Linked DNA regions of Notamacropus eugenii. The protein of the gene in region 4 interacts with the protein of the main gene of each other region in a pairwise test. Links are inferred from orthologs where the notes say so. Each region holds a gene or a part of one and is shown on either strand. Other genes may lie near its edges.

Region 1 (6,193 bases), on a different chromosome or scaffold from region 4:
TTGGGGGCATTTTAGCCCCTCCTCACAGCCTCCTTCATTACTGCAGGCCTCCCACATCAACACCTCCCCCCTCCCACAACCTGTTCCTCAAACCCCCTCCCCTTTGCCATATTATCCCTTTCTACCTACCCTCAATGAATCTTCTGGCCTCAAGCCCCCTCCCCTTCTTTTTATATTCTAGTCCCCTCCCCTATATCTTGCTTTCATTACTACAGGCCTTGAATCTCAATCTCCCTCCCCATTTAAAAAATCTAGCCCCCCCCTACAATCTACCCTCTAATCCTTCTGTGCCCCCCAATCTATTATCTAGCCCTTCCACAAGCTACCCTCTATCCTCATATGCCCCTCCCTCTATATTATCTAGCCCCCCCACAATCTACCCTCTATCCTCATGTGCCCCCCATCTATTATCTAGCCCCCCCACAACCTACCTTCTATTCTCCTGTGCCCCCCGACAACCTACCCTCTCTCCTCATGTGCCCCTCCCTCCATTTTTATTATCTAGCCCCCCACAACCTACCCTCTTTCCTTATGTGCCCCTCCCTGTGTATTATCTAGTCCCCCCACAACCTATCCTCCATCCTCATGTGCCCCTCCCTATATATTATCTAGCCCCCCCACAACCTACACTCTCTCCTCATGTGCCCCTCCCTCCATTTTTATCTAGCCCCCCACAACCTACCCTCTCTCCTCATGTGCCCCTCCCTCCATTTTTATTATCTAGCCCCCCACAACCTACCCTCTTTCCTTATGTGCCCCTCCCTGTGTATTATCTAGTCCCCCCACAACCTATCCTCCATCCTCATGTGCCCCTCCCTATATATTATCTAGCCCCCCCACAACCTACACTCTCTCCTCATGTGCCCCTCCCTCCATTTTTATTATCTGGCCCCCCACAACCTACCCTCTTTCCTTATGTGCCCCTCCCTATGTATTATCTAACCCCCCCACAACCTACCCTCTCTCCTCATGTGCCCTTCCCTGTATATTATCTAGCCCCCCACAACCTACCCTCTCTCCTCATGTGCCCCTCCCTATATATTATCTAGCCCCCCCACAACCTACCCTCTTTCCTTATGTGCCCTTCCCTGTGTATTATCTAGTCCCCCCACAACCTATCCTCTATTTTCATGTGCACCTCCCTATATATTATCTAGCCCCCCCCACAACCTACCCTCTCTCCTCATGTGCCCCTCCCTATGTATTATCTAACCCCCCCACAACCTACCCTCTCTCCTCATGTGCCCCTCCCTGTATATTATCTAGCCCCCCACAACCTACCCTCTCTCCTCATGTGCCCCTCCCTATATATTATCTAGCCCCCCTACAACCTACCCTCTCTCCTCATGTGCCCCTCCCTATGTATTATCTAACCCCCCCACAACCTACCCTCTCTCCTCATGTGCCCCTCCCTATATATTATCTAGCCCCCCACAACCTACCCTCTCTCCTCATGTGCCCCTCCCTATATATTATCTAGCCCCCCCACAACCTACCCTCTCTCCTCATGTGCCCCTCCCTATGTATTATCTAACCCCCCCACAACCTACCCTCTCTCCTCATGTGCCCCTCACTGTATATTATCTAGCCCCCCACAACCTACCCTTTCTCCTCATGTGCCCCTCCCTATATATTATCTAGCCCCCCCACAACCTACCCTCTCTCCTCATGTGCCCCTCCCTGTATATTATCTAGCCCCCACAACCTACCCTCTCTCCTCATGTGACCCTCCCTGTGTATTATCTAGCCCCCCCACAACCTACCCTCTTTCCTCATGTGCCCCTCCCTATGTATTATCTAGCCCCCCCACAACCTACCCTCTCTCCTCATGTGCCCCTCCCTATATATTATCTACCCCCCCACAACCTACCCTCTCTCCTCATGTGCCCCTCCCTATATATTATCTAGCCCCCCCCACCCTACCCTCTCTCCTCATGTGCCCCTCCCTCCATTTTTATTATCTAGCCCCTCCCACCCTACCCTCTCTCCTCATGTGCCCCTCCCTCCATTTTTATTATCTAGCCCCCCACAACCTACCTTCTTTCCTCATGTGCCCCTCCCTATATATTGTCTAGCCCCCCCCACATGCACACTCTATCCTCATATGCCCCTCCGTATTTATTGTCTGCCCCCCCCACAACCCACCCTAATTACTTCAATCCTCTGATCTCAGACCCCTCCCCATGTCTTCTGACTCCTACCCTCATTGCTACAGTCTCCTAGCTGCCAACCCTCCCCATCTCTTTATAATGCAGCCCTCCCTCATTACTAGTCATCCAATATCACACCCCCTCCCCATTTTTAAATTTTGAGCCCTACCCCCCAACCTACTCTTCTTACGATACATGTCTAGCATCACCTCCCCGAGCGCCCCCACCCCTCCCACCACCTTCCCTCATTACTATGGTCCTGTAGAAGCCAATCCCCTCCCCAGCACATTAAAGTTTAGGCTTAACCCCTCCCAGTCTATTTGATATCTAGGCCCCTGATGCTCCTCCTGTTCCTAAAGTCTTATAACCTTAGCCCCCCCCCCCTCCCCCTTATCTGCCCCCACAACCTACCCCCATCACTACAGGCTTCTTTGTTGAATCTCCTTCCCATCCCTTTGTAACAGAGCCCCCACCTCCCACCAGCTACCTGCATTGCCACATTCCTCCAATCTCAGAGCCCACTGCAGCTCTTCAGGCTCCACTCCTGGGAATATGCCCCCATTGCTGGGGCCTTCCAGCCACAAACAGCCCCTACTGCTTCCCTAGGGTAGGGTTTGCAAACCCTACCCCCATCTCTTAACATCTTAGCAAACCCCCCCACATCCTCCCCTCATTACCACAAGCCCCCTCCCCATTTGGGGGTCTTTTAGCCCCTCACAGCCTCCTTCATTACTGCAGGCCTCCCACATCAACACCTCCCCCCTCCTACAACCTGTCCCTAATACTGTTGCCCTCTTGCCTCAAACCCCCTCCCCATTTCTTTTTATCTCTCCCTTCCTTATACCCCCCTCAATGAGTCTGCTGATCTCAAGCCCCCTCCCCTTCTCTTTATAATGCAGACCCCCTGTTTTTTATTTTTGTATTGATTTGATTTGATTTGATTGATTTTATTATTACAGGCTTCTGATCTCAAACTCTACTCATTTTTTTAATCTAGCCCACCCCCCAAACCTACCCTCATTTAAATAGTTTTTTATCCTCAAACACTCTCCTCATTTTTAAGATTTTAGCTCCCCCAAGTAGCATCACCTCCCCCTTCTCTCAATATTTTGCCACTCCCAGGCCCCCCCCCATTACTGTAATCCTGCAGACTCAAAGTCCACCCCTTTCTGTTTGGAGTCTAGCCCCCTCTCAATGCCACTCCCCTCCCCATCCCTTTATAATCCAGCCCTCCAATATCCTCCCCTCATCACTAAACTCTTCTAATCTCAGGACCCCCTCCTCACAACCTACAGGTGTCCTATATGAATACCACCTCCTCTCCCCCTCCCACAACCTAACCTCAACCCCCCCTTCCCTTTTCCTTTTCCAATGATCCCATCAGCCTACCTACAATGCTCTAGGCTTCTGCCTTCAAGCCCCCTTCCCATCTTTATGACCCAGTCTCAGTCTTCTCCCAATGGAGCCCCCTCACAACACTGCCCTCCAGTAGCCTCCCAGCCCCTCCCCACCTCCTTCGAGTCTTCTCCCTCTAGAGTCATTTGATCAGAGTCTCTGAATACTTTCTGTCTTTTGCTTCTGTGATCTGATGCTGGCATGTGCCACAGACTTGCTCCTCTCCATGTCTCCTCCATGCCTCTAGCTCAGCTGACATTCTCTGTCTTCCTTATTCACAGGCACCAGTGACTTTGGACTTCCTTCAGCAGACAGTAGAACCTACAAGTGCTGAGTGCGAGGGAGCAGCCGGATCTGGGAGTCACGTCAAACCAGACCCCCCACCCTGGGGTGGGGGGGAGGGCTCCCGGAGGAGGAGGTCAGCACCTCTGCAGAAGGACAACAGCCTGTGCCCAGACCAACCACACTCTGCCAGCTAGATAATGTGATTCAACCGTTCAGAGGTACTGGTTCAGATCACTTCCTATCTGAACTGGCCAGGTATGGCATGGAGCCCTCAGGGGCTGCCAGGGGACTTTCACTGGAGCCTCAGCTGACCAACTGACTCTTGGCCTCGTCGCCCTTTCTTCTCATTGGTGGTGGACTCTAAAACAGTAGGACTCTTCCTTGGTCTGTTGGGTCTCTCTTTGGGGCTCTCTGGCCAAGCTCCACTGTCCCTTGCCTACTGTCTCTACCCATTCTGGTCTAGCCAGAGTGATTGAGCCCCACCCCCGGGGCATCTTTGACCGTGCTTACACTGATTCCCAGGATCTTTGAATATGCCAACCAGCACTGGTTCCGGTGCTTCGGCCCGCCGCTGCAGGATGGAGGACCTCACAGCTGAGGTCCAGGCCCTGCGGGCCCAGCTCCTCCAGCAGACCGAGGAGAACAGCTCCCTGCAGACCCAGCTCCTCCAGCTGTCAGAGGAGAATGCCAACCTCCGGGGACAGCTCCAGGCCACCCCGGTAGGGGCCATGGGCCTCTCTGCCCCTCGTGGTAAGTGCCCCGTCGGCCTCCCTGAGAAGTTCGATGGGACCCCCGAGATGCTTCCCAGCTTTTTGGCCCAGAGCCGCCTGTACATGGAGCTGAGGCCTGAAGACTTTCCCACAGAGCACGTCCGCGTGTGCTTCCTCACCAGCTTGCTCAAGGGGCGCGCGGCCCGCTGGGCCACCCCCTACCTACTGGAGTCCAGTCCTCTGCTGAACAACTATGAGGCCTTCATCGATGAGTTCAAGCAGGCCTTCGAGGACCCCCAGCGCAAAGAGGCCGCCAACCGCAAGATCCGGCGTCTCCGCCAAGGCCTCGGCTCCGTCCTAGACTACGCCAGTGCTTTCCGCCTCTGTGCCCAGGACCTGGACTGGAATGAGCCGGCCTTCATCGACCAGTTCCTGGAGGGCCTCAGTGATCCCATCCAAGATGAGCTCGCTCGCGTGGAGGTGGCCCGATCGCTTCCCGCACTCATCAACCAGTGTCTGCGCATTGAGGGAAGGCTGAATTCCCGGAGAGGGGCATCTCCTGCCAGCTCTCCTCAGCCCCAGAGCGCCTCGTCCCCTCCAGTCGAGTCGGAATCAAACCAGCTGGTCACTCGGCCTCAGTTGACCCCAGAAGAGAGGGAACGTCGCCGAAGACTGAACCTGTGCATGTACTGCGGACTGGCCGGCCATTACGTGGACAACTGTCCATCCAAGAAGCCAAAGTCTTCTGGGGTGGGAAACTCCCTGGCCCCGCTGTAGAGGGACCCCCAGCGCCCGGGCCTGAACCAGAAAGGTCCCCCCCAGATGACGCGTCATCTTCTCACTTGCAACTACTGATCACGTTACATCTCCCGGACGGCTCCTACTGTACCGTCCGCGCCATGATTGACTCCGGTGCCTCCGGCAATTTTATTGACCAAGATTACGTTGCACAGACTGGAATCCCAGTAAAGATTAAGTATTGGCCGGTGCTGGTGGAAGCAATTGACGGACGGCCCTTGGCCTCTGGCCCAGTGACCCAGGAAACCCAGGAGCTGGTGGTAGACATTGGGGAACACCGTGAGAGACTCTCCTTCGATGTGACCCAGTCCCCCTTCTTCCCTGTGGTTCTGGGGGTGCGGTGGCTCACCCAGCACAACCCCTCCATCATGTGGAGTTCCCGCACCATCGTTTTTGACTCAGAGTATTGCCAGCACAACTGTCGGGCTGCTCTGCTGATGGCACCGAGCCTGGTCCCTGGAGGAATGGACGTTCAGGAAGTTCTTGTGCCGATGGCCCAGGAAGCCATCCCATACCACGCACCGTACAGTTACACTGTAGCCCCCACCGGCTACCCCTACGCAGTGTCGGACCCAGAACTGATGGCTGTCCGAGACTTCCTGGCCAAGAATGTGAAATGGGTTTGTGTCCAGCCGGCCTCCCCATTGGGGGCCCCAGTTGTCATCATGAAGAAAGTGGGAGAGCTATATCTTTGCAATGATTCTCAAAACCCAAATGCCATTGCCGTCTGGAACCAGTATCCACCACCTTCAACTCCTTACGTATTGTACCAGCTCCAAGCAGCCCCCATCTACAGGACCAGGTCCCCAGCAGGGTACACCACCTGGTCAATGTTGGGAAGGGAAATGAATGGAA
Region 2 (7,545 bases), on a different chromosome or scaffold from region 4:
AGAGACAGAGACAGAGACAGAGACAGAGACAGAGACACAGAGAGAGAGAGAGAGACAGAGAGAGGGAGAGAGAGAGAGAGGGAGAGAGCGCGATCTCACCTAAGGAGACTTTGATCATAGGGTTAATTTAGGTCATACATATCTGATATAGGCTACACATGCAATGATATAAAATCTATTTCCATATTAGTTATGTCGTGAAAGAAGAAACAGCTTGCAAGAAAATGCATTTTTTTTTTTGCAAAACTTTATTTTTTTTGTTGTGAACTTGTGGAACATTAACAAACATTCATTTCCATAAACAAAGAGCAGGAAACCTTGAATCTGTCACAGACGGTGACTTTTGCTTGAAAACTATAAAAACTATAGTTTTCAATATTTATATATTATTTATATATAACATTTAATAAATATATTTATAAACACATAATATAAATTAAAATATGAAAACTATAAAACTTTTGTTTTAAAACCAAAAAACAAATCTATGATAATTTGAATAGTGCCTTGCTTTTCTGTATCCTTCTGAACTTTCTGCTGCTCTCTTCTGTGAAATACTTTAGAAATATTTCATTGACTTTATTTTATTTCCTTGTAGTGCAAAAGATGCTAAGAAAGGAAAAACTGTCCCTGTCCTCAGGGGGCATCTGTTCTGAGGGGAGGGCATGTGTGCGTTGCCCATTTAGATTATGTGTTTCCACATCAGTCTGTCTAGTGTGACTTTCAGGGAGATGTGAATAGATATCTCTGGGGTCTTTTCCACCCACCCTTCCCTAAGGAAGACTTTGATTCCTGTCAGGAGGGGAATAGGAAATTGGGGCCACAAGGCTGACCACTCTCCTCTCCTTAGAGAAGGGTTACTAGGCTAGAGTTATAACTCTAAATACTAGGGGAAATAATGTTTAGGTTCAAGCTGTGCTCTGATCCCTATCCTTCAATAGGGGAAAAGCATCCAAGCTCTACATCTATACTTCAAGGCTTATCTCCCTTCCTCCCAAATGCCAGTTTCACAGAGAGCACACATAGCAGATAGAAAATAAACTCATCTATTAAAGCCAATATTAGGCAGAACTTATAGATGTTATGCAGAGGAGAGTACGCTAGATAATACACAGAATGAAAGAGTTGTCCCATGGGGAGAGAGGTTCAAAGATATGAGGGGGGGAGAGAGAGAGAGAGACAGACAGAGACAGAGACAGAGACAGAGAGACAGAGAGAAACAGAGACAGAGACAGAGAGACAGAGAGAGAGTGCATAATCTCACCTAAGGGGAAATTTCCCAAAGTCTCTGGTGTGGTAAGCTAGGGATAGGGACACAATGAAGGTACAAGCTTTTCTACATGTTGAGCTGAAGAGACTCAGGAGTAACATATTTTCTTTCTGAAGCTGGAAAAAAGACCTCTCAAGGTCTGGTCCACTCTGACCCTCAGCTTAAACACAGTACACTGAATAATCAATCTTGGACGCCCAAATGAAGAATCCCCAATTTTACTTGTTTTGTTGAAGAGGATGACTTCAAAAGAGGTTAAAGAACTTGCCCATGGTCACTCAACTAGTAAGGAGCAAGGGCAGGATTTGATTTCAGGTCTTCTGGTAGCACAACTCTGGAGCTCTCACCTCTACACCAGGTTTAACTGGTGACCATCACAAACGAAGTAACTCCTCCTAGAGTTCTCCAAAATATCTGTGAATGGTCCCACTAGGGAGGACTTAGAGGGCATCTAGTCTGGGCTTCTCATTTTCCAGACAAGGAGACTAAAGCCCAGAAAGAGAAAAGACCCATCTAAGGCACCCAAGATAGAATTAAGCCCAGGTCCTCTGGTTTCCACTCCACTATTGGTTCCTACAGGAGTAGACTGACATTTCAAAGCCTGTCGCGTTGGGTATTCAGAATGTCAGAGACTGGGTGAGCTGGGTTCATTAGAACTAGATCCTGCTGCTGGGAAAGCTGGTTGTGAAACACTTTATTGTTGTTTCTCACTCATTTTTCAGTCACGTCTGACTCGGTGTGACCCCATTTGGGGTTTTCTTGGCAAAGACGCTGGAGTGATTTGCCATTCCTTCTCTAGCTCATTTTACAGATGAGGAAACTGAGGCAAACAGCATGAAGTGACTTGCTCAGAGTCCCATTCAGACCCTGAAATTTTGGAGTCTTTTAATTAGTTGTTCATTAATACTCTCCAAGTGCAATGAAAATTCACACCGCCATATGACACATTTTCCTGAAACCCATGGAGTCAACATGGGAGAAATTTGTAGCGAGGGAAGGCAAATCCTTTCTTCTCTCACCATCCAATTCCTTCTTCCTTACATTTTGGAAAAATGACTTACTAAAATGGTGGTTAGAGAGGTGGCACTGGAAGCAGGAAGATGTGTTCAGATGTTGGGTTCAAATTCTGACTGACACAAAGGGGCTGTGAGACCCTAGGCAAGTCATTTAATGCTCAGGGATTCGCGCATCTTCCTAACACTTCAGTTGCAGAGAAAATGCTGACCTGCATGAGTAGAGGGAGTTTTCTTACCTGGGAGTTCCCTGTATCCATATTATCTCAGGTTTGGCTCCTCTCCCTTAATATTTAACCTAAACAATGCATGCAATAACTTAAATTTGTTTTGCAACTTAAATAAGTGAAATTCAGCCTGTAAAACATCATGACTTGTCCGTCTTTCCCTCCCCCTAGATCTTTATCAGGGTTCTTTCTCCATTCATACTAATTCACTTTCCCTCTTAGATGACTGAAATTAACGCGGACTTCATTCTTCTGTTTCTCTGTCTATTTCCTTGTATCCTCATACATGTAATTGACTTACAGTTTCCCATTACACCAAGGTACCGCCATGTATTCACTCATTCCCTCACTGTCACATGTCTGGGTTGCTTCCAGGTGGAGTTTTCTGGTTTTGTGGCCACACAGTCCTGCCATGGAAATCTTGGGACTCTTATTTTTATTTTTCAAAAAGAAACAATTGGGTCAAAGGGGATGATTACTTTTGTAACCTTTCCTATAAACTGCCAGGTTTTATTCTGAAAAGGTTCTGAGTTTGCAATACCGCCAGCAACAAAAGAGTATGCCTGTTTCTTCGCAGCCCCACCAGCACCGACTTTCAGGTTTTGAGAAATTTGCCAATCAATCTGTCAACAAGCATATTCAAGAGGCTACTTTGTGGAGAGTGCTACAAGCTGGAGCTACAAAGGTAAAAATGAAACTACCCACACTTCAGTTTTCATCTGTGAAAGAAGGGTGGAATCCAATTTCCAAGTCACCTTCTGATTTTACCCTTCTATGAGAAGAATTAAAATCCAGTTCAAGAAATACTTATTCAGCAGGTGGGAAGACTTGCTCAGTGTAAGGGGTAGAAGAATGGGATAAGATAAAGGACCCAAGGACTTGTAATGCAAGGCAGAAGGTGAGAAGTACAAGGAAAAAGTGTAGATAAAGAGTCAGAAATCCAGAGGCCAGAGGGCTGTTATCACGTGGGAAGGACCAAGGGAGATGTGCTAAAGGGGCTGGCCTAGACTCTGGGCCCCCTCCTGGCTCAGGGATGCTGCGAGGCCGGGTCTGCCCTTGAAGGTGCCCATCCTCTCTGTCCCCTCGGCTAGGCAGCCAGGGGTGACCTAGAGCCTCCCCCTCAACACCCCTGCCCGGTCAGGGCCCGACCTGGGGCTGCCTCTCGCCGGACGCCCTCCCCGGCCCCCCCCTCCTGGAGCACTACCCCGAGCGTCACTCACTGCCCCCCTCCCCCTCCCTGTCAGCGCCAGTAACAGCAGGGGTCCTCGTCACCCCTCCCCCGCCCCTCCCCCTGCTCCGAGGCCGGGCCTCAGCCTGGGGATTCCCGCCGGGACCAGGCCGGGCTGAGGGATTTCGACCTCGAATTCCTTTAATGTTCGGGGATAACGCTCGAGGATGGACGGACGCTTGAGAGGCCTGGGCGCTCGGCGGGCTTGACGGACGGACGGACGGACGGAGGGACAGACGGAGGGACGGACGGACAGAGTCAAATAAAGAAGAGGAAATAAACCTAAATCTAAACATTATAATAAAAATTAAGAAAGGATAACCAGTCCTGAGCTGCCCCGTTCCTCTCTTTGCAAATCTTAGTTTTGTATCTCCTTTACCGACTCCGTCTCTGCCACGTATTTTTATAAATGTATGTTTTCATGCATATTATTTATACATACATGCGTATGACTGTGCGTACAGGTACATGCACACACGCATGTGTACTGCCTGCACACCGTAGGCGCCTACTCAGTGCTCGTGGCGTAACGATGGCGGAAAGGCTTCTCTGGGTCCAAGATGGACGCCCCAGGGCTGCTCTGGGCAGGGCCTGGGGGCCGTCTGGTGCCACGCCTCTGTCCCACACAGCAGGGAGGGGCAAGCCTAGCGAGGGCCGGGGCGGTTCGAGGCCTGCACCCGCGCTCCTCTGCACCGGGCCCAGCCGCCGTGCCCCCTGGGGTGCGCGCCTCACGGGCCCTTCCAGAGCTCCCAGGCGGAAGAGGTTTCCTAACTTGGGCCGAGGGTGGGGGAGGGGGATGCGCGGCCCAGACTGGCAGAGGGAGGAGGGCTCCACCCCTCCCCTCCCCTCCCCCACCCGGACGTCCCCCATGCCGCAGCCAGCTCCCGCAGCCTGGAGGTGAGCGCGATGCACTCCTCCGGCCCGGACGCGGCGGAGGCGGAGCGCGCCGGGCCTCAGTTTCCCCCGCTGACCGAGCAGGAGGCCGGAGCCTGCGCGTGCCCGGGCTGCCCGGCCCCGAGGAGCACGCAGGCGGCGCGGGGCTCCCCTGCGCGGGCTCCCGGGGTGCAGGGGCCGCTGCACCCGAAGAAGGGGCTGCTGTGCAAGTGGTCTGCGGAGGCGCCGCCTTGCTACAAGTGTAGCCACTCGGGGCACGCGGGGCCCCCGCCCCAGTCCCAGGAGCCTCCGACGGCACCGCCTCCTTCCACGCCGCCGCCGCCGCCGTCTGCGCCCGCCAGCCCGGGCGACGGGGCCATGAAGACGGAGCCCCCCAAGGAGGCGGCCGACAAGATGCTGCGCACCCCGAAGTGCTCGCGCTGCCGCAACCACGGCTTCCTGGTGCCCGTCAAGGGCCACGTGGGCAAGTGCCGCTGGAAGCAGTGCAGCTGCGAGAAGTGCTACCTGATCACGGAGCGCCAGAAGATCATGGCGGCGCAGAAGGTGCTCAAGAGGCAGCTGCACGACGGCGACGAGCCCGACGAGCCGCCCGCCGAGCCGCTCGGGGGCCCGGGGCCCGCGCCCTGCGCCCGTCCGCTGCCCATGCCGCTGCCCATGCCCGGGCCCGGGCCCGGGGACGCCGGCCCCGACGGCCGCGCAGGCCCCTACGGGAGCGCCCGGCCGGGGCCCTCGGGGCTCTTCGAGCGGGGCCCCGGGGGCAACGGCGGGGGCGGCCCCGGGGTCGAGGTGGCCGCGGGGGGCAGCGCCCGGGGCTTCGACGGCTGCTTCAAGCCCGGGCCCCGGCGGGCGCTGCCGCTGCCCATGCCCATGCCCCTGCCGGCCCCGCCGCCGCCCCCCCCGCCGCCGCCGCCGCCGCTCAGCGCCTCCACCTCGGCCTCTGCCAGCCCTCCCTACGGCGACTTCGGTAAGGACCCCCGACGGGAGCGCGGGACCCTGGGGACGGAGGGCAGGGGAGGCCGGGGCTGGAGCGAGGCCTAGTGACCGCGAGGGACGCCCCGTGCGGGCCGCTTCTGCGCCTTAGGGAGGGGGCCGGCGGTGACTCGGGAGCGGCCCGGGCCCCCCTCGCTCCATCCCCCCAGAAAACGCTCCTTTCCCCGCCTTGCGGCCGGCCGCTTCAAACTCTGGGCCTCAGTTTCCCCATTTCTAAAAAGAGGATTGGGTTAGAAAGATGGCTGTCTGCCGTCTGCCCTCCCCTCCCCCGAACCGGACGGCAGGGACCGAGGCGTCCCCTGGGGAGCAGTGCGGGGCCGGGGGGGGGGCGCCCGACCGAGCCTGCCCTTGATGAAGCTGGGGGAACCGAGGTGGGGGGGGCGGAAAAGCGGCTTTGTGGACCCAAGCGTGGGGGGGCGGCAGGTTTATTTAGTGCGAGTGTCTCGGTGCAGTTCCGGGCTTTGGAAACGTGGTATTGGGGGGGGAGGTTCCGGACCGTAGCGGCCCCCCCTGGTTTTACAGGCTGGGAAACAGGCCTGAGGTCACTCTGTAGTAGGTAGGCTGCTTCCCCTCCCTCCCTTCTCCCTCTCCTCTCCCCTCCCCCTCCTTTTGTCCTCCTCTCCCCCTCCCCCTCCTCTTCTCCTCCTGCTCTCCCCCTCCTCTCCCCCTCCCCCTCCTTTTGTCCTCCTCTCCCCCTCCCCCTCCTTTTGTCCTCCTGCTCTCCCCCTCCCCCTCCTCTCCCCCCCCCTCCCTTTGTCCTCCTCTCCCCCTCCCCCGCCTCTTCTCCTCCTGCTCTCCCCTCCCCCTCCTTTTCTCCTCCTCGCCCCTTCCTTTTCTCCTCCTGCTCTCCCCTCCCCCTCCTTTTCTCCTCCTCGCCCCTTCCTTTTCTCCTCCTGCTCTCCCCTCCCCCTCCTTTTCTCCTCCTGCTCTCCCCTCCCCTTCCTTTTCTCCTCCTGCTCTCCCCCTCCCCCTCCTCTTCCCCTCCCCCTCCTTTTGTCCTCCTTTCCCCCTCCCCCTCCTCTTCTCCTCCTGCTCTCCCCTCCCCCTCCTCTTCTCTCCCCTCTCCCTCCTTTTCTCCTCCTGCTCTCCCCTCCCCCTCCTTTTCTCCTCCTGCTCTCCCCCTCCCCCTCCTCTCTCCCCTCCCCCTCCCTCCCGGGCTCTGTCTACTACGCTCAACTTGATACAATTCCCACGCAGTAGTGGGGGAGGGGGGCTTTTCTTCAGTGCCTTAAGTCGTACCAGACCTTTGATACGCACGAAGCCCTTTCCACTACGACCTCGTGCTCTAGGTAACACGGGTATCCATTCGCCAGGCTAAATACCATCCAGAGTGTCTGTGATGCCATCAGTTTATTAAGTTCATACATGGGAATTTCAACCCCTAATGTTCTGGAAAAGCTAGGACTTGGAACCAGAAGGCCTGGGTTCAAATCCCATCCCAGCTACCCTGGGCCAGGCTTTGATGGGACTCTTGTTTCCTTGACTGTAAAATGGGGGCTGATGTGATGGGTGCTTTGGCCTCAAAGATCTAGTGGGAGGAAAATGCTTTGTAAACGAACTTTGGGCTCTGTGTCAAGTGAATTTCCCCTAGGAACACTGTCCTTGGATAGTTAGTACCCGTGTCTTAGAGCTTCACTACATTTGTAGGTAACTAGGGTTTTTTGTCTTTCCCCTTGTTCTTGTCTTTATCCAGGGCACCCTTCCAACATTGCCCCAGAGTGCGTGATGGGACCTGAATATCTGGAGAGAGAGCAGTCTAAAGTGTATCCTGGTTATGCCAACATGTACCACTACCGCCCATTCCCACTGGGCAGCTACCGGGGTTCTGCTTCTGCCCCAGGGATACCCCTCCAGAGGGGCTTCCGCCATGTCTCCAGCAACCACGGAGCAGGGACCTCTTCTTCTTTGCTGGTGAGTAGAGGA
Region 3 (7,206 bases), on a different chromosome or scaffold from region 4:
TCATCTCTTGAGTTTCTTCCCCCCACCCCAACTTCACCATCTTCCATTCTCCTTCCTTGTCCTCTCTCCCTCACCCGTTACCAAACTCACATGCCCCCACTTTCCCCTCTGGCCTCAAGATCACAGGATTTGGATCTGGGGGGGGACATTGAAATGGTGCAGTGCAGCCTCCTTGTTTTGGAGAAGAGAAGACAGGAGTTCAGTCACTTAACCTCCACAGAAGTTGTGACTTACCCAAGGTCACAGAGAGCCGTGGCAGAACTGGTATTTGATCACAGGCTTCTAGATTTCCAGCTGGGAGGCACCTTAATGTCATCTAAACCAACCCCCTCCCTTTCTGGAAGAGGAAACAGGCTGAGAGAGGCAGTGATGATGACTATTACCATTATTGATAAGATACTACTACTAATAGCCACGCCTATGTAAAGCTTTCCTCCCCAAGGTTTGCCAAATACTGTACTGACTTTATGTTTCTGCCTCCCAGCAGCCCCAGGTGAGGAGGGGTGATGTCATTCTCATTTATGAGGAGCTGAGGTCCTGTTACCCACGGCCATCTAGGCAATGGGCAGCATTTGAATGCAGGTCATCTGATCCAAGGCCAGGCAGCTGCCCACCAGACTCCCCGTCCTCCCTCAAGAGTACGGTGGTTTCTTTGGGTGAAGGACCAGCTGTGTGCTGAGCTGGATTCTAGCAGTGTGCCCTGGGCCCACTCTGGGGAGCTTCCTTCCAGGGAGCTCAGGGCCCCAAAGTACTGTTAGGTTATGTGGAGGGATGGAGGGAGCGGGAACTCATGGGGCAGAAACAACCCCACCAGATGCCAGGTTGGTGATGGAGGAGAATTGGAGGTGTTGCTATGACAACCTGAAAAAAACTGGGCCTGCTGCCACAATCTGTGTCCTCAAAGCAGAGTGGGTCTTTCTCCCCATTTTACAGGTGGGGAAACTGAGGCATAGAGAGAGGAAAGAGACTTAGCCAAAGTCATGAGACAGGAGAGGGGCCAGGCCAGGACTTAAGACCTGAGTTTCTTGGCTTCATCTTGGTGTAGTGGAAAAATAGGGAATCAGGAAACTCACATTCCAGGTTTGGCTGTGTTTCCAGTTGCTCTGTGATCTTTGGCAAGTCCCTACCCATCTTTGGGCTTCAGTTTCCCCATGTCTAAAAAGAACTATCCCAATTGCCTCACTCCCCATTGACTCTAATTCTGCCTTTTGGGACCCCACCAACCATGCCTGCTCCCTAGATCCTTTGGTATGAAGAAGGTATTGATCATGGCCCCTGATCACTTTGTTCCTCTCCCTCGCCCCCTGTATTTTTGTGCCTCTGTCACTTTGTTTCAGTAGCTCTGGGACCCTAGGTGGGCCTCTTCCTGGTCCTGGGGGAAGCAGGGGAAGAGGATGTTCTGGACTGCTCAGGAATCCTGACAGCTGCCTGGTCACCATCCTATCTGGGGCTCCCAGCTAAAAATAAACTAGCCTGGGTTGGGTCCAGGAGTCTGGGAGGTGGGGCAGGACGTGGAGAAGGTACTGGGGTTTGAAGTTTGTCTGTTCTGATGCCCTCGGCAATCCTGGGAGCGAACCTTCAGGCAGTGGCCTAGAGGAGAGGAAGGAGAGGTTTAGAGTTGGAAGAGAATTGGATTCAAATCCTGAGTCTGCCATTTGGGTAAATCTCTTCAGCTTTCTGGGCCTCAGTTTCCTTGTCTATAAATTGAAAGAAACCATAAGCTCATAGAAAAATGGAATCCATAGAATCCTGGAGTTGGAAAGTCTGCCCTGGCTGGACTACATCTGCACTAGAGTATTCTAGATCTCATATTTTAGAGCAGGCATTGATAAATTGGAAAGAATCCAGAGGAGGGTAACCAGAGTGTCGACTGGAGGGTGTGGGGAGTTTTCGTTTGGAAAAGATGTAGGGAGGAAGGTGTTTGCAAGGCTGCCAAGATGGGCAAGAGGGCATCAACTTACCCTGTTTCACACCAGGGCCAAACCAGGAGCTATGGGTGGGCAGCCGCAGATGAGGCAAAGGGAGGCTAGCCTTCAGCAAAAGTCACATGAGTACTTCTCAAGAAAATTGGGGCAAGTGATGTGGTTCATGGTATGGACTTGAAAAGATGCTGCATGAGTTCCCCTGCCAGGCTTTTAGATCCCAGAATGCCAAAACTGGGAGGGAACTTAGAACACAAGGGTGTCAGAGCTGAGAAAAAAATGAAGTATTTCCCAATATTTGCACCTTGACACTATTCCAGGGCAAGTCTATATCTAGTCATATTTTCTCAATCAACAGTTGCTAGTAGTTCAATTATACTTTGATATTTTAAAAATATTAGTGTTTATATAGCATAACTTTATTAATTTGTGGAAATATTAATTGATTGATTGTGCCCCAGATAAGGGAGAATCTAAGGGGCACAAGATCCAGGTGCCCACCCTTGCTTTCCGCCATGCTTGTTCATGGTAGATTCTAGGTGTGGCTGTAAGTAGCATAAAACCGTAGTCTTGATGTTTCCAATTTATGAGTAAAGGAATGGGGCCCCCAGGGGGTCCCTTGGAGAGGGTTGGGGAGAGCAGGCATGCCCAGTTTTGTGGATACTTGCCAGGAAAGACCATGATGGCAGCAGGTGGAGAATAATGCTTCAAGACATGGAGAGTAGTGAGGCAAGTGATAAAGTGTAGTTGTGGAGGGAGGTAGACTGGTGGGAAAGAGCCCTGGGGAGGGAGAGGGGCCCTTGTGTAACCTTGGATTGGAGTTGTGGGGACTCGGGCGGGATGGACCTGTAGTAGGTGGAAGGAGTGCTAGGGGGCTGGAGATTGGGGTCCCATTTTCTAGGGTTGGGGAAGGGGTGGACTAACTCATATCCGTGCAATTTTGGTGTAGTTTATTAACACCCACATTGTCTCAAAGTAATCAGCAACACCTTCAGCTTAATTCGTTAGCTGAGCGTTTTGCTTGTTTTGACCCCAGCTTATCTGAAGCTTCCAGACCAGGGGCAGTTAGCTGGACCCAGGGGCCATTGCATTCAGGCCTAGCTGGCTTCCCCTACGTTTCACATTCTCAGAAAGTAGCCTTAGTCAATTTATGAGGCAGTTCCCAGCGGCTCCCATGCACTCCTAATTTATGAGACCATTGGTTCCCCCATTTGCAATCTATTGCTAGCTACTTAAAAACTTACTATAGTAACTAGATGGGTGGCTGGGGGTACCAGAACAAGATACATTTTCAACACAACTGCTTCATGACGTTATCATCCTCACAACCTGGAGATGCATGTGCCATTTCCATTTTACAACGATGAAGAAGCTTAGGCAGACAGGCTAGTGATTTGCCCAGGGTCACACAGCTAATAAGGATCTTTGGCTGGATTTGAACTGGGAATCTCGACTCCCAGTCAAGCATTGTGCTACCTAGATGGCTTTCTTTGAAGTAAAAAGGTGATCTCACCCGTACAAGGTTGGGGGTCACTCTCACTGCCTTTGTATATAGGAGGGCCCTCAAGACAAAACCTGACATGGCCGAGACCAGACTTTTTGAAAATGGGGAAGCTGAGGTCCAGAGGAGGTAAGGGATGGCACAGTCGAAGGCAGAGGCTCTGGTCCAGGGTTTTTCTGCTGTCTTCCCTGCGGATGGATGATGGTGCCCAGAGTTTCCGAGGCATCCTAGCCCCCTCCCACCCCAAGTTCCCTGTTCTCAGCATCCTTGAGGAGGTCATCCAGCCTCCATTTTTACACCTCCAGGGAGGGGCTGCTCACTGCCGTAGGAGGCAGACCTCCCATTGTGGAAGAGCTGCTTGTGGGGAAATGGCCCTGAAAAAGTGTCTTGGGGAGATGGAGAATACCCCTGGACCTCTGCTTCGGGATCCGGAGCGGGAGGGATGGTTATTCGCTTTCCCAGCCGCAGCCGTAATTCTCACAATCTCAAATTTTGGGGAAGGGGCTGGCCCTTGGGCATCATTTTTTTGAAAGAGCGATCTCTTTAAGGTATGCAAATCGTTTCCAGTGTCTCCAAGGGAGACAGACCGCCTTCTTGAGCTCAGCCAATCGGAAGATGAAGCTACGAGAGCCGACGCTCAAAACGTACCAATCGCGGGGGAGTGTCGGGCAGCTCCGCCCCCTCCCGAGCTGGGTCCTCGGCTCCGCGCGAAGGGGTGGAGGGGGAGGCTGCGTGGGCTCCGCCCGCCTGTGGGCGGGGCCAGAGAGGGGCGGGGCTCCGATGCCCGGCGCGCTCGGGTGTCAGTGTCGGCGTCGGCGGGCCCCGAGCCGCAGGTGGCTGCGCCGGCTGGAGGAGGACGCTGCGAGGGCCTCAGGGAGGTGAGTGGCCGCTGACTCCGCGGGTCTGGAGGGCGCCCGGGTGCCTTCTCTCGCTGCGACCTCCTCTCCTGCACGGCTCGCGCCCCGCCGGTCCCGGTGTCCCGGCTCCGCACCCCGCCCCCCGTACCCCGCTCCTGCAGCGGCGCCCCCTCCCCAGCCGTGACCTGCCATCCCCGGCCCCGCCGTTGTGCCCGCCGGCCCGACCCTGCCAGCAGGAGCGTCGCCCCTTCTCTCCATCCCCCTCCTGAAGCCCCTTCTCTCCATCCCCCCAACAATAGCTTCTCGTCCCTGCCCGGGAGCGGCCATCGCCGCCCTTCTCCCTGAGGAGGGCCGACCCCACCCTCCGGTACCTATCCCCCTCGCGCCCACCCAGATCCCCGCCCGGGAGGCTGCCAGACCGATGGGCAAAGGGGCCGTCAGCCGTCTGCCCTCCTGCTCAAGGAGACAGCGGGGCCTGCGCGAGCCCCCAGGGCGGCGTGTTAGGGAGCGGAACCTGGGCAGTGCGGAGGCCCGGCTTTGGCCCGGGGGTGCGAGGGTCAGCCCCCCCAGGCCTGAGACTGGGCTGCTACTGCCCTTGAGGCTGGGGGCATCCCTGCTGGGGCCGAGGGATTGGCAGGCTGGCGCGGGGTCCGTGTCCGCTGTGTGTCAGCTTCAGCGGAGCATCTGATCCAGGGATTAAAATAAAAATCAGATCTTATTCTGTTCACCGACTTGGCAGCTGTACCCAGCAGCTCTGGGGGAGAGGAGGAGGACGAGGAGGAGGAGGAGGAGGAAGATGCCATGGGTGTGTGTGTGTGTGTGTGTGTGTGTGTGTGTGTGTGTGTGTGCGCGCGCGCGTGCACGCTCTCGTGCAGCAGATCCTCCCAAGAACCTGCCTTTCTCCCAGGGCAGACCTGGTAGTGAGCATCTGGCTTGAGCCCAAGCTTGGGGGGTGATCGGGGTGAGAGAATAGCTTGGCTGATTAGGGTTTAGGATTTGTGGCGTGCTCTACACCACCCCCATTTAGCATCTATCCCCTTGGGATAGACAGAAGTTGGGTTTGTTACCTCTGTCTTCTGAGAATCACCCAGTCTTACTCGGAGGGCATCTGGGGCCTCAGCCCTGACAGGTTCAACAGCCATAGTGTTTCTTCTCCATGGCCACCTCCACCTCCAAGCTCAGGGCCAAGAGCTCCGGAGACATGGGTTCTAGTCTCAAGTCCCCTTCTGATGTGTTTATTTCCCCTCTCTGAGCCTTAATTCCATGTCTGTAAAATAGGGCTCATAGTCCTTGCACTAATAATATATTACTGTGAGGTCAATACTTATAAAAGTCATTATGTTAAAGACTACTAGACGAAATCTAGCACAGATATATACTAAGAGCTGTGTGACCTTGGACAAATGCTTCCCCTCCCTGGGCATGGGCTTGTTATTCTATCGTATCTGCCTCTCCGTGACCCCATTTTGGAGTTTTCTTGGTAAAGATACTTGAGCAATTTAGCCATTTCCTTCTTTAGTTCATTTTACAGATGAAGAAACTGAGGCAAATGGGGTTAAGTGACTTGTCCAGGGTCTAGTAAGTGTCTGAGGCCAGATTTGAATTCAGGAAGATGGGCCTGAGCCTGACCATCTCTAGCAAATGGAGGTGATTGTCTCACTCACAGTCAGTGTGGCTTTGGAGAAGTCATTTCTTTGGGTCTCTTTCCTTTTTTAAAATGGAGGTGTTGGGCAAATGATCTGTGAGTCCTAAGTCTCATAAGACTATGATATACACGCACACATACATACAAACATATACATACATATATTTCAGCTACCGACACTTTAAAGTTGTTTTGAGAATAGTATTTTATAAACCTTAAAATACAAGAAAAATGTGAGCTGTCAGTCTCTGTAAAATGAGGGCTAGAACCCTCCTAGCTCTGACATCCTGTATTCTAAAGTCTCTTCTTTGTTCCAAGGTCCTTCTCAGCTCTTATATTCCATATTCTAAGGCCTCTCTCAGCTTTGACATTCCATATTCTAAGGCCCTCTCAGCTCTGATATTCCATATTCTAAAGACCTCTCTCAGCTCTGACATTCCAAATTCTAAGGCCCTCCCACCTCTGACATTTTGTCTCCACTCTGATATTCCATGTTCTAACATCCCAGTCCAGTTGTGACATTTTAAGGACCCTTACATTCTCTGACTGGCAGATGAGGCAAGAGAGATTCCAGCCCTCACCTAACCCCACCTGGGTTGTGGGAGGGGGAACTTGCTGGCCGACATCCTCACCCCCATAGGGTGTTTCCTGACCCACATACCAGGTCTATGCCTTGAGGAGGCTATGCACCCAAGCCTGGGAGCAGGTTTGGCCTCTGGGTGTGGTTGGCATGCACCTCCCCCCTCTAAAGTATGGCTGTTTTCCCGATCCGGCAAAGCTGGATAGCTCCTGCCTCCCTCCCACCTGACCTCGAGCATCATTATCCCTGGGAATGGTGCGGCCAGACAAATCCCAGACTACCTGGCTCTGGGTCATTGTTTAGGGCAGTGGAAGAAGCTTGTGCCGTTTCTGGTTCGGTTCTGGGGACCTCAACCTTGCAAACATGGAATCTTGCAAACATAATCGGAGTGGCTAGCGAGGGAAATACTGGGCAGTTGTGACTTTTCCAGAATCTTGGAGGTCTGTTCTGACCCATCTCTTCCTGGGACTGCCTCAGGAAGAGGCATATTCTCTTCTAGGGGAAGGGAAGTACAATTATTCACCACCCATTGGAACCCCAAACAGTTTATTACTTGAAGTTTCCCCCTTTTTTTTGATAATACTCCCTTGCAGTGAACTCCTTCTGTAGAGCCCTGATCCGAATTCAGGACAAGTGCGGAAGGGACAATCACCAGTCTTGGGAGGCTGAGGCTTGTGCCCTTGGGGTTCCCCTGCCCTTAG
Region 4 (7,189 bases):
ATGCTTTCCCTGAGCCCAGCAAAGGAAGAAAGCTGGTCCCCTGCATCAAGGAGGCTGGAGAGCCCGCCTCAGAGCTAGGGAGATCCGCACGGACACCTTCTCCTCTCCTTGCCCAGTGGGGGCTGATCTTGAGGAGTCTTCTGGCTCCCTCCCTCCTGCTGCAGTCTGCACCCACTTTCTCTGGCTGCCTCTGCCCTACAGGTCCTGGATAGGCAGCACCTGGAGCACTGGGAAGGACCATGATAGGCTCATATGGTCTTCCTTCTTTCTGCCCAACTACCCTGGCTCCAGCTTTAGGCCCCAGCTCATGTGGGTAGAGGACATACCTGCCTCCCGATACTGCCCAAACACCAAGTCTGTGTCATCCAGGGCGGCTGCACTGCCCACGTGAGTGCCCTCCTCCCCATAGTTGGTCATGTAAAAGGAGATCCGGCCCTGCATGGAGGAAGGGGAAAAGAATAAAAGGAGGGCCCAAATAGAACATTGTCAGAGAAAGTGGGGAACCTCCCCATCCTTCTACACACAGCTTTCATTTTTCCCTCTCTGGCTGCACCAGCCCACCAGTCACTGCTCCTTTAAGCTCTGACTCTGAGCCAGACACTGTGCTGGGCCCCAGAGATCCAGAGGGTCGGACATTTTCTCTGGAATCCCCCATAGCCCCAGCACTGAGCAGTCACCTTTCCATAATGGGGGCTACTGTCTTAGCCACCCATTGTCAGCCTCCAGAAGAGGACCTCAGGCAGCCCGGGGTTTCTTGTCCCACTTGGGTCTCAGACTGACTCCTGTCCTTTTTTCCCCTTTAAGACATTCTCTCCTCTTCCCCTACCCTCTAAGGCAGGCTCCCAGAAGTCAGCTTTCTGAGTACCTGCATCTTGAGGCTACAGGCTTCAGTCTGCCCTGCCAGGGTCTCTTCCCCAAGCTCCAAGGGCTCCCATGACTCTTTTGACCCCAGGAATGGCCTTGGGGGGAGTGTGTCTAACTGTGGTTCCCCTTCCCAGAGGGCTGGACCCCACTTACCTGCCTCTGGGACTCATAAAGGATTCGGTCCATGGTGTTGAGAAGGGTCATACTTTTGTACAGCTTCAGGACCACCTCCGGAGGCAGCTGAGGACAGAGCAAGCGGAAGGGTGTGGTTGGTGGCAGAGGGCTTGGGGGAAAGGCTTAGGGGGCCATGAGACCCCTGCAAGGTCATCACCTGAGGGTCCTCGCTGGCATTGATGATCTGTCCTTGGCGATCCATAACCCGGTAAACGGGGATGCCAGAAATGACATTGGGTTTTATGAAGTCTAGCTTATCCACAAACTCAGCAGAGGCTCCAGGGAACTGGGGTTTTTCATCCAGGGATGAGAAATCTTCCTGCTGCCAATGGGCGGCCTGAGAAGAAGGGAGGACAAATGTGTCAGAAGGGTGGGGCCCCCACAAGCACCTCCCTCAAATATCAGCAAAAACCTCTTGTGCTTCTGCAAGGAGTGAGCTCTGTCAGGCATGCTGCTGAAGGGGCCTCCTCTCCACTGACACACTGGCCCAGTCACCCTCTGAGGTCCCTCCCAGGCTGCAGCCCTGCTCACATCTTGCCTCCCAAAAGAGGCAATACCCACTGGAGTTTCCTGCCCAGTTAGTTAGGGAGCTGGCAGCCATCCCTGGCAATGCCCTTTTGTGCGCCCAGCAGAACTGGTCACACAGGTGTGGCTCTATGGGGAAGAAGCCTGCCCTCAGGAAGCTTATTTGGGAGTTTGGCCTCCAGCCACCCAGGACAAGTAGAGACAAGGCCTAGAGGCCTTCAGAACTGATAGATCAGTTTTCCACAAAAGGCAGATGGGTGCCAGGGCATGGGTGTGTCCTGGCGGGAATACTAGATTTAGAGAGAAGCAGGCTTTAATCCTGGTTCTGCCAATTAACAGCTAGTGACCCTCCCAATAACCCCAGAGGGGAGGGGCTATAATCCCCATTCAACAGGTGAGGAAACGAGGCAGGCAGAAGCAAAGTAACATGTCTGGGATCATGAAGCTTGTGTGTGAGGCTGAATTACCAGGCCCAGGGCACCAACCACCGTACCACCAGCTGCCTCACTTCTCCCCAGGGGACTGTGGTCAATCCTTACAACTTCCTTGGACCTCTGTTTCCTTATTTATAAAGTTAAACAGGTGGAGTCCCAGGAGGTTTTTAAGAGTTTAGGGATGCAGTGGGTAGAATGCTGAGCCCAGATTCAGGAAGCCCTGAGTTCAAATCCAGCCTGATCTGTTTGCTAGCTGTATAACTTTAAGTCACTTACGTTGTCTGCCTCAGTTTCCTCAACTGTAAAGAGGGGATAATTATATTACTTCCCTACCAGGGTTGGTACAGGGAAGACCAAATGGGATTTAGCATACAGCAGACGCTTCATGAATTCTTATTTCCTTCCTTCTTGCTCTAAACAACAACCCTGGGAGGAAGATCCTATTATCACCACCAGTGGCCCAGCCGGTCTTCTAGCCTGCCTTCCAGCCTGCCCTCCTCTGCCCTTCTCTTTCACACCCCCATGCCTCGATGCCCTTAGGCAGAAACATTCTTTTATTACATGTGTAACTGCAGTGCTCAGCACATGGGAAATGCTTGATAATTTCCCAAATGGAAGGTGGTGAGGGTAGGCCCAGTCTGGCCCAGACAGACACTCCCTCAGAGACACAACTCTGGTCAACTGGCTCCTGCCCAGCCTTGCCCCTGCCAGGCACTTTACAATGGTCTTCCCTAAAGCTGCCTCCCAATGCATAGCCAGGGACCTTCTTCAGGCCCTCAAACACAGCAAACTCGTCCCCACTGGTTGGTTTTGTTGTTGGGTTCTGGTATCAGCAACACTGGCACCAGCACATGGCCCACCTAGTCTGGTCTCTGCCTTCAGAGTACATTTCCATCCATCACCTCAGTATATCCTCAGGCCTTTCCAATGCCAGGGCAGAGCTTGCACTGGATTCAAAGGGACAAATGGCATCTCTGTGTATGGCTTTAAAGTTTGTAAAACTCCTGACACATATCGTCTGATCTCATCTTTACAACAATCTATTTTATAAATGAGGAAACTGAGGCTCAGAATGAAGTGACTTGTTCACAACCAACTGAAGGTCAAAGGCTTCATGTTTTTGTGGTAACAGAGGGTATTCAAAGGATGAGAAAGAAGGTGCCTGTGCCAAGAGAAAGAGTTACCAGAGACAACTGGCCAGGACAATGGAAGACTGCAGATTGTGGGTGGCCTGAGAGCAGCCAGAGGCTCTAGGTGCTGACTGAGACCCTGGGGCTGGATGGGCACAGACAGAATGTCACCACTCCATCAGCTCCCCTCATCCTGCCCTGACAGTTACCGCCACTGCCCACAGGGACACATTCTATTCGTGTGTGTGTGTGTGTGTGTGTGTGTGTGTGTGTGTGAGCATCATGGGAAGGTCTCTTAAAGAGGTCTCTTTCCTCCCCAGTCCCAGTGAGTATGACTAGCCTCCCTTACCTGGACATAGATACTTGAGTGTGCACACTCACACCTCCCTAGCCAACCTCTAGTTCACACACACACAATCACTGGGAATCGGGGTAGAGACTGAAGCACAGTAAGGGCCCATGCCTAGCCCAGCCCCCACCCCATGGAAGCTCCTGGTCCCCCCACTTCTCGGTGATGCCTGTCCCATGAGCTGAGGGGATGAGGAAACTCCAGTTAAGATTCCTATACTGCTTTTAGGCTTACAAAGGACTATCTCATGTTTTTAAAATTCACTTTATCGATCTGCGGATCTTAAAAATGCAAGAAGGAGTTGATCTCAAAGGTCTCAAAGATAAAGGGACCTAAGGAAAAAAGTCCATAAATGACTCAGTCTCACAGATGGACTATCTTTGTACTGAGACTACCTTGGGTCAGGGGCTGAATCTTGTGGCTTTGGTCCCCTGGAAGGACTGGGCCAACTTCAGGAGGCTGACCCAAACCCAACAGACACTGTCAGCCCCATTCTCCCACCCCCCTCTGACTTACCCAGCCTCTGATCACTATAGACACAGCCTAAAGACCCCAAAGAAGCCCCTCTCCCCAACTCTGCCAGGGGTTTACCAGCCCAGGAGGCTCAGAAAGACTATGACCCGGCCAGCAAGGGGAGGAGGTAGCAGTGGACTCAGTCCCCGCCCCCATGATGCTGGTCGGGGGCCACCAAGCCCTCCCTCCCTTTCCAGCCCAGAAAGAGCCCCGCCACCAAGGAACCAGAAAGACCAGAACAGGAACAGCGCCTGGGGACAGACGGTTGGGAAACGAGACCAGGTGACCTTCCCCCGCCCAGGGGGCCCGGCCTCCCTCCCGCCCCCTGGCCCGGCCAATGAGCAGCAGGCACCTGGTCCCTGCCCAGCTCCCGCACAAACAAGTGGAGGCATCCCCACTGAGCTGGGAGCAGACCTTCTCGCTGCCAGGCTGACCCTGCCCTGGTCCTCCGGCAGTCCTGGGGCCCTCTGCCCCAGTCCTGCTTCCCAGGAGGGCCAGGGCTCCCCGGGGCCAGCCCCCTGCCCCTCCCCCGCACCACAGAAAGTCCGCAGGAGCCCCTTCATTCTACACTGGGCCCAGAGACAAGAGGTGTCCCGCCGAAGGTCACCCAGGTGGGGGGCAGGACTGCAGGGAGTTGGGGAATCCTCCCCAGCCTTTCGGGTCTCCCTGCTCCCCCCTCTCCTGGGGGGGTCTCCCCATCCCTCTCTCAGGGGCTCCCGAGGGGAGGGGTCTCTTTCTCTTTCCTGGCGCTCCCCTCGGGGTCCGGGGGCGGGAGCACTCACGGATCCCGCCAATCCGCGAGGGCCCCGCCGGGCCAAGGCCAGCCCCCCTCGCAGGGCCCAGGCTCGTGCCGCCGCCGCCGCCATCTTGACTGAAGCCGTTAACCGTCTCGCTCCGCGACCGCCACCCAGGTTCTCTCCGGGGCCGGCAAGTCCATCGCCTAAAAAGCTGTCCACGCCCACGGCCCCACGTGAGCCGGCCCCGCCTCCAAGCCACCCGGGACGGCCCGCGAGGGAGGCAGCCCCGGTCCGCCACTCCCCCTTAGCTCTGTCCCTCGCCTCAGAGGCCTCGGAGGCGGCGGCGCCTTCAGGCGGAAGTGCGGCCAGCCCTCTGAGCCCGGGTCCTGGTGCGCGCCCCGCCCCTTCACCTCCCCGGGGCTGGGATACGACCGCGGGCCATTTTGATTCCGCCTCCTCTCTCCAGCGACCTAATAGTTCCCTCTGGCCTAGGTCGGGGGCGGGGCTGAGGGAAAACGTGGAATCCAGCCTTTACAAACAAACTTCGCGCAAGCGCGTCGCGATTATGGCTCACGCGCCCTCTTCCGCCAGTCCAGAGGAGGTGGGGAGGGAGGTTGAAATAAGCCGAAACCACGTGCTCAAACAAACAAACTGCTTGCGCATGCTCCCCAAGACCTTCAGGCATGCGCCCTGGCCATCCCGGAAGTAGTTTTGTACTGGCCGGCCTTCACGTGGATTGAGATGGAGACGGAGTTCGCCCCTAGCGCCGGACCCGAAGCGGATCCAAGTTCGCGGGGTTCCGGCTGCAGCCTCCGGCATTTCGCCTGCGAACAGAACCTGCTCTCCCGACCCGATGGCTCCGCCTCTTTCCTGCAGGGTAAGGTGCCATCCTTCCGAACCTTTGCTTCCGGGTAAATACCCGTTTCCGGCTAAATACTCGGGCCCACCGTGAGGGATGGGGGGGGGCCACCATTCCTCAGTAAATTATAAGCACTTTTCCTCCTTCTGGAGGCGAATGCACTTTCAGCACAAGAGAGGGGCAGGTACCCCATTTACTCCCCGCACGTGGGTCAGTAGGTGCCCGTATAAATAGCGATCTCCAACGGGCCGGGGCGGGATCAGGGCTGTTGGTAAAATGCGCCCTTTGGGGGCCTCCCGTTGTCCTCCTTGTCCGGGGCCTGCCCACTTCGGGGTGCACGGGACAAGCTCCCGGACCAGTGAGGCCCCGCCCCCCGCCCCGCGCAGCCTCGTGTTGTGGCCTCGGGCTTCGCTCGGAGAGGCCTGGCGGGGCGGGTCTCCAGCCTCCGTCCCCACCCCCGAGGCCTCCCCTGCTGGCTGGAGGTAAGGAAACCCGCAGGGAGTGGGGAGCCGCGGGCTTCAGTGGAAAAGGCCCGAGTTCTCATCCCGCCTCTGACACGGACTGGCCGGTGGAACGAACCCCTTCCGGTCTTAGTTTCTTTATCTGTCAGGTGGGGGTCATAATAACATTTATGTAACGGGGTTGTTGTCAGGAGCCAACGGGAAACTTGGGAAGTGCACGTCAGCCCTCCGTAGCTCTTATCTTGTCCTTCCCAACTCTCTTCTCGCCCCCATTTGGGTTTTTCCTGGAAGAGATACTGGGGTGGTTGGCCACTTCCTTCCCCATGTCCTCATTTTACAGATGAGGAAACTGAGGCAGCCTTGCCCAGGGTAAGTGTCTGAGGCCAGGTTGAACTCAGGAAGATGAGTCTTGACTTCAGGTGGTGTCACCGGAAGCCTTAGCTGTCATCAAGGGCGTCTCATATAGAGGGAGGTGGGGGTGCTCCCGGAGCCAATGCCTCTTCCTCCTCTGCACCCCTCTCTGCAGGTGACACCTCGGTCCTCGTTGGAGTCTATGGTCCGGCAGAGGTCAAAGTCAGTAAGGAGATCTTCAACAAAGCCACCCTGGAGGTGATTCTGAAGCCCAAAATAGGGCTGCCTGGTGAGCAGGGAAGGGGGTGGGACGCCTCCCCCATCGCCAGAAGCAGACTGAGGGAGCAGCTGATGTTACAGGGATGTTGTCCGGGGCTGCTTGTGTGGTAGCCTAGAGCCGGGGGCAGAGAAGAGATCACCTGCTGGTGATCAGGGGATGGTGAAAACAGACTGGAGCATGGATCCAGCATGGTGAGAAATAGGAAGAGTTCAGAAGCCTGGGAAGACTTCCAGGAACTGATGCAAAGACCAGGCAGGCAGAGCTGGGAACAGGATAGGCCGCAGTGAAACGGGAAGGAACCGAAAGGTGCTCTGTAATCCTCTTCTGTAAACACTGCCCAGCTGTGACTTCCTAGAGAAGAGGTGTGCCTTCCTCCTGTGTTTGTAAAGATGAAGGAAAGAAAGCTTTTATTTTGTAAAATTTCTATTTTTTCCATGTAAAGATAATTTTCAGCATTCACTTTTGTAAGATCTTGAGTTCCAAATTTTTTTCTCCCTCCCTTCCCTCCGCCT

Evidence for each region.
Region 1: the proteins of EXOSC5 (region 4) and PEG10 interact in binary tests that used the Homo sapiens proteins (3 or more experiments, as listed by UniProt). The link is inferred for Notamacropus eugenii from reciprocal best matches to the Homo sapiens genes EXOSC5 and PEG10.
Region 2: the proteins of EXOSC5 (region 4) and DMRTB1 interact in a two-hybrid assay, tested with the Homo sapiens proteins (2 studies listed by BioGRID). The link is inferred for Notamacropus eugenii from reciprocal best matches to the Homo sapiens genes EXOSC5 and DMRTB1.
Region 3: the proteins of EXOSC5 (region 4) and FCHO1 interact in binary tests that used the Homo sapiens proteins (3 or more experiments, as listed by UniProt). The two-hybrid records come from large-scale screens. The link is inferred for Notamacropus eugenii from reciprocal best matches to the Homo sapiens genes EXOSC5 and FCHO1.

Annotation. Positions count from the first base shown.
Region 1 is NC_092874.1:504,132-510,324, forward strand, and holds PEG10 (retrotransposon-derived protein PEG10), read left to right. Parts: upstream 1-3,936; 5' UTR 3,937-4,363; coding exon 4,364-5,317; 3' UTR 5,318-5,687; downstream 5,688-6,193.
Region 2 is NC_092873.1:513,649,238-513,656,782, forward strand, and holds the start of DMRTB1 (doublesex- and mab-3-related transcription factor B1), read left to right. Parts: upstream 1-4,535; 5' UTR 4,536-4,644; coding exon 4,645-5,596; intron 5,597-7,315; coding exon 7,316-7,533; intron 7,534-7,545.
Region 3 is NC_092875.1:68,369,353-68,376,558, reverse strand, and holds the start of FCHO1 (F-BAR domain only protein 1), read left to right. Parts: upstream 1-4,194; 5' UTR 4,195-4,301; intron 4,302-7,206. UniProt on the Homo sapiens protein: Functions in an early step of clathrin-mediated endocytosis. Has both a membrane binding/bending activity and the ability to recruit proteins essential to the formation of functional clathrin-coated pits.
Region 4 is NC_092876.1:29,841,085-29,848,273, forward strand, and holds the start of EXOSC5 (exosome complex component RRP46), read left to right. Parts: upstream 1-4,185; 5' UTR 4,186-4,271; intron 4,272-4,771; coding exon of another isoform or gene 4,772-4,980; intron 4,981-4,982; coding exon of another isoform or gene 4,983-5,192; intron 5,193-5,194; coding exon of another isoform or gene 5,195-5,411; 5' UTR 5,412-5,467; coding exon 5,468-5,603; intron 5,604-6,572; coding exon 6,573-6,686; intron 6,687-7,189. UniProt on the Homo sapiens protein: Non-catalytic component of the RNA exosome complex which has 3'->5' exoribonuclease activity and participates in a multitude of cellular RNA processing and degradation events.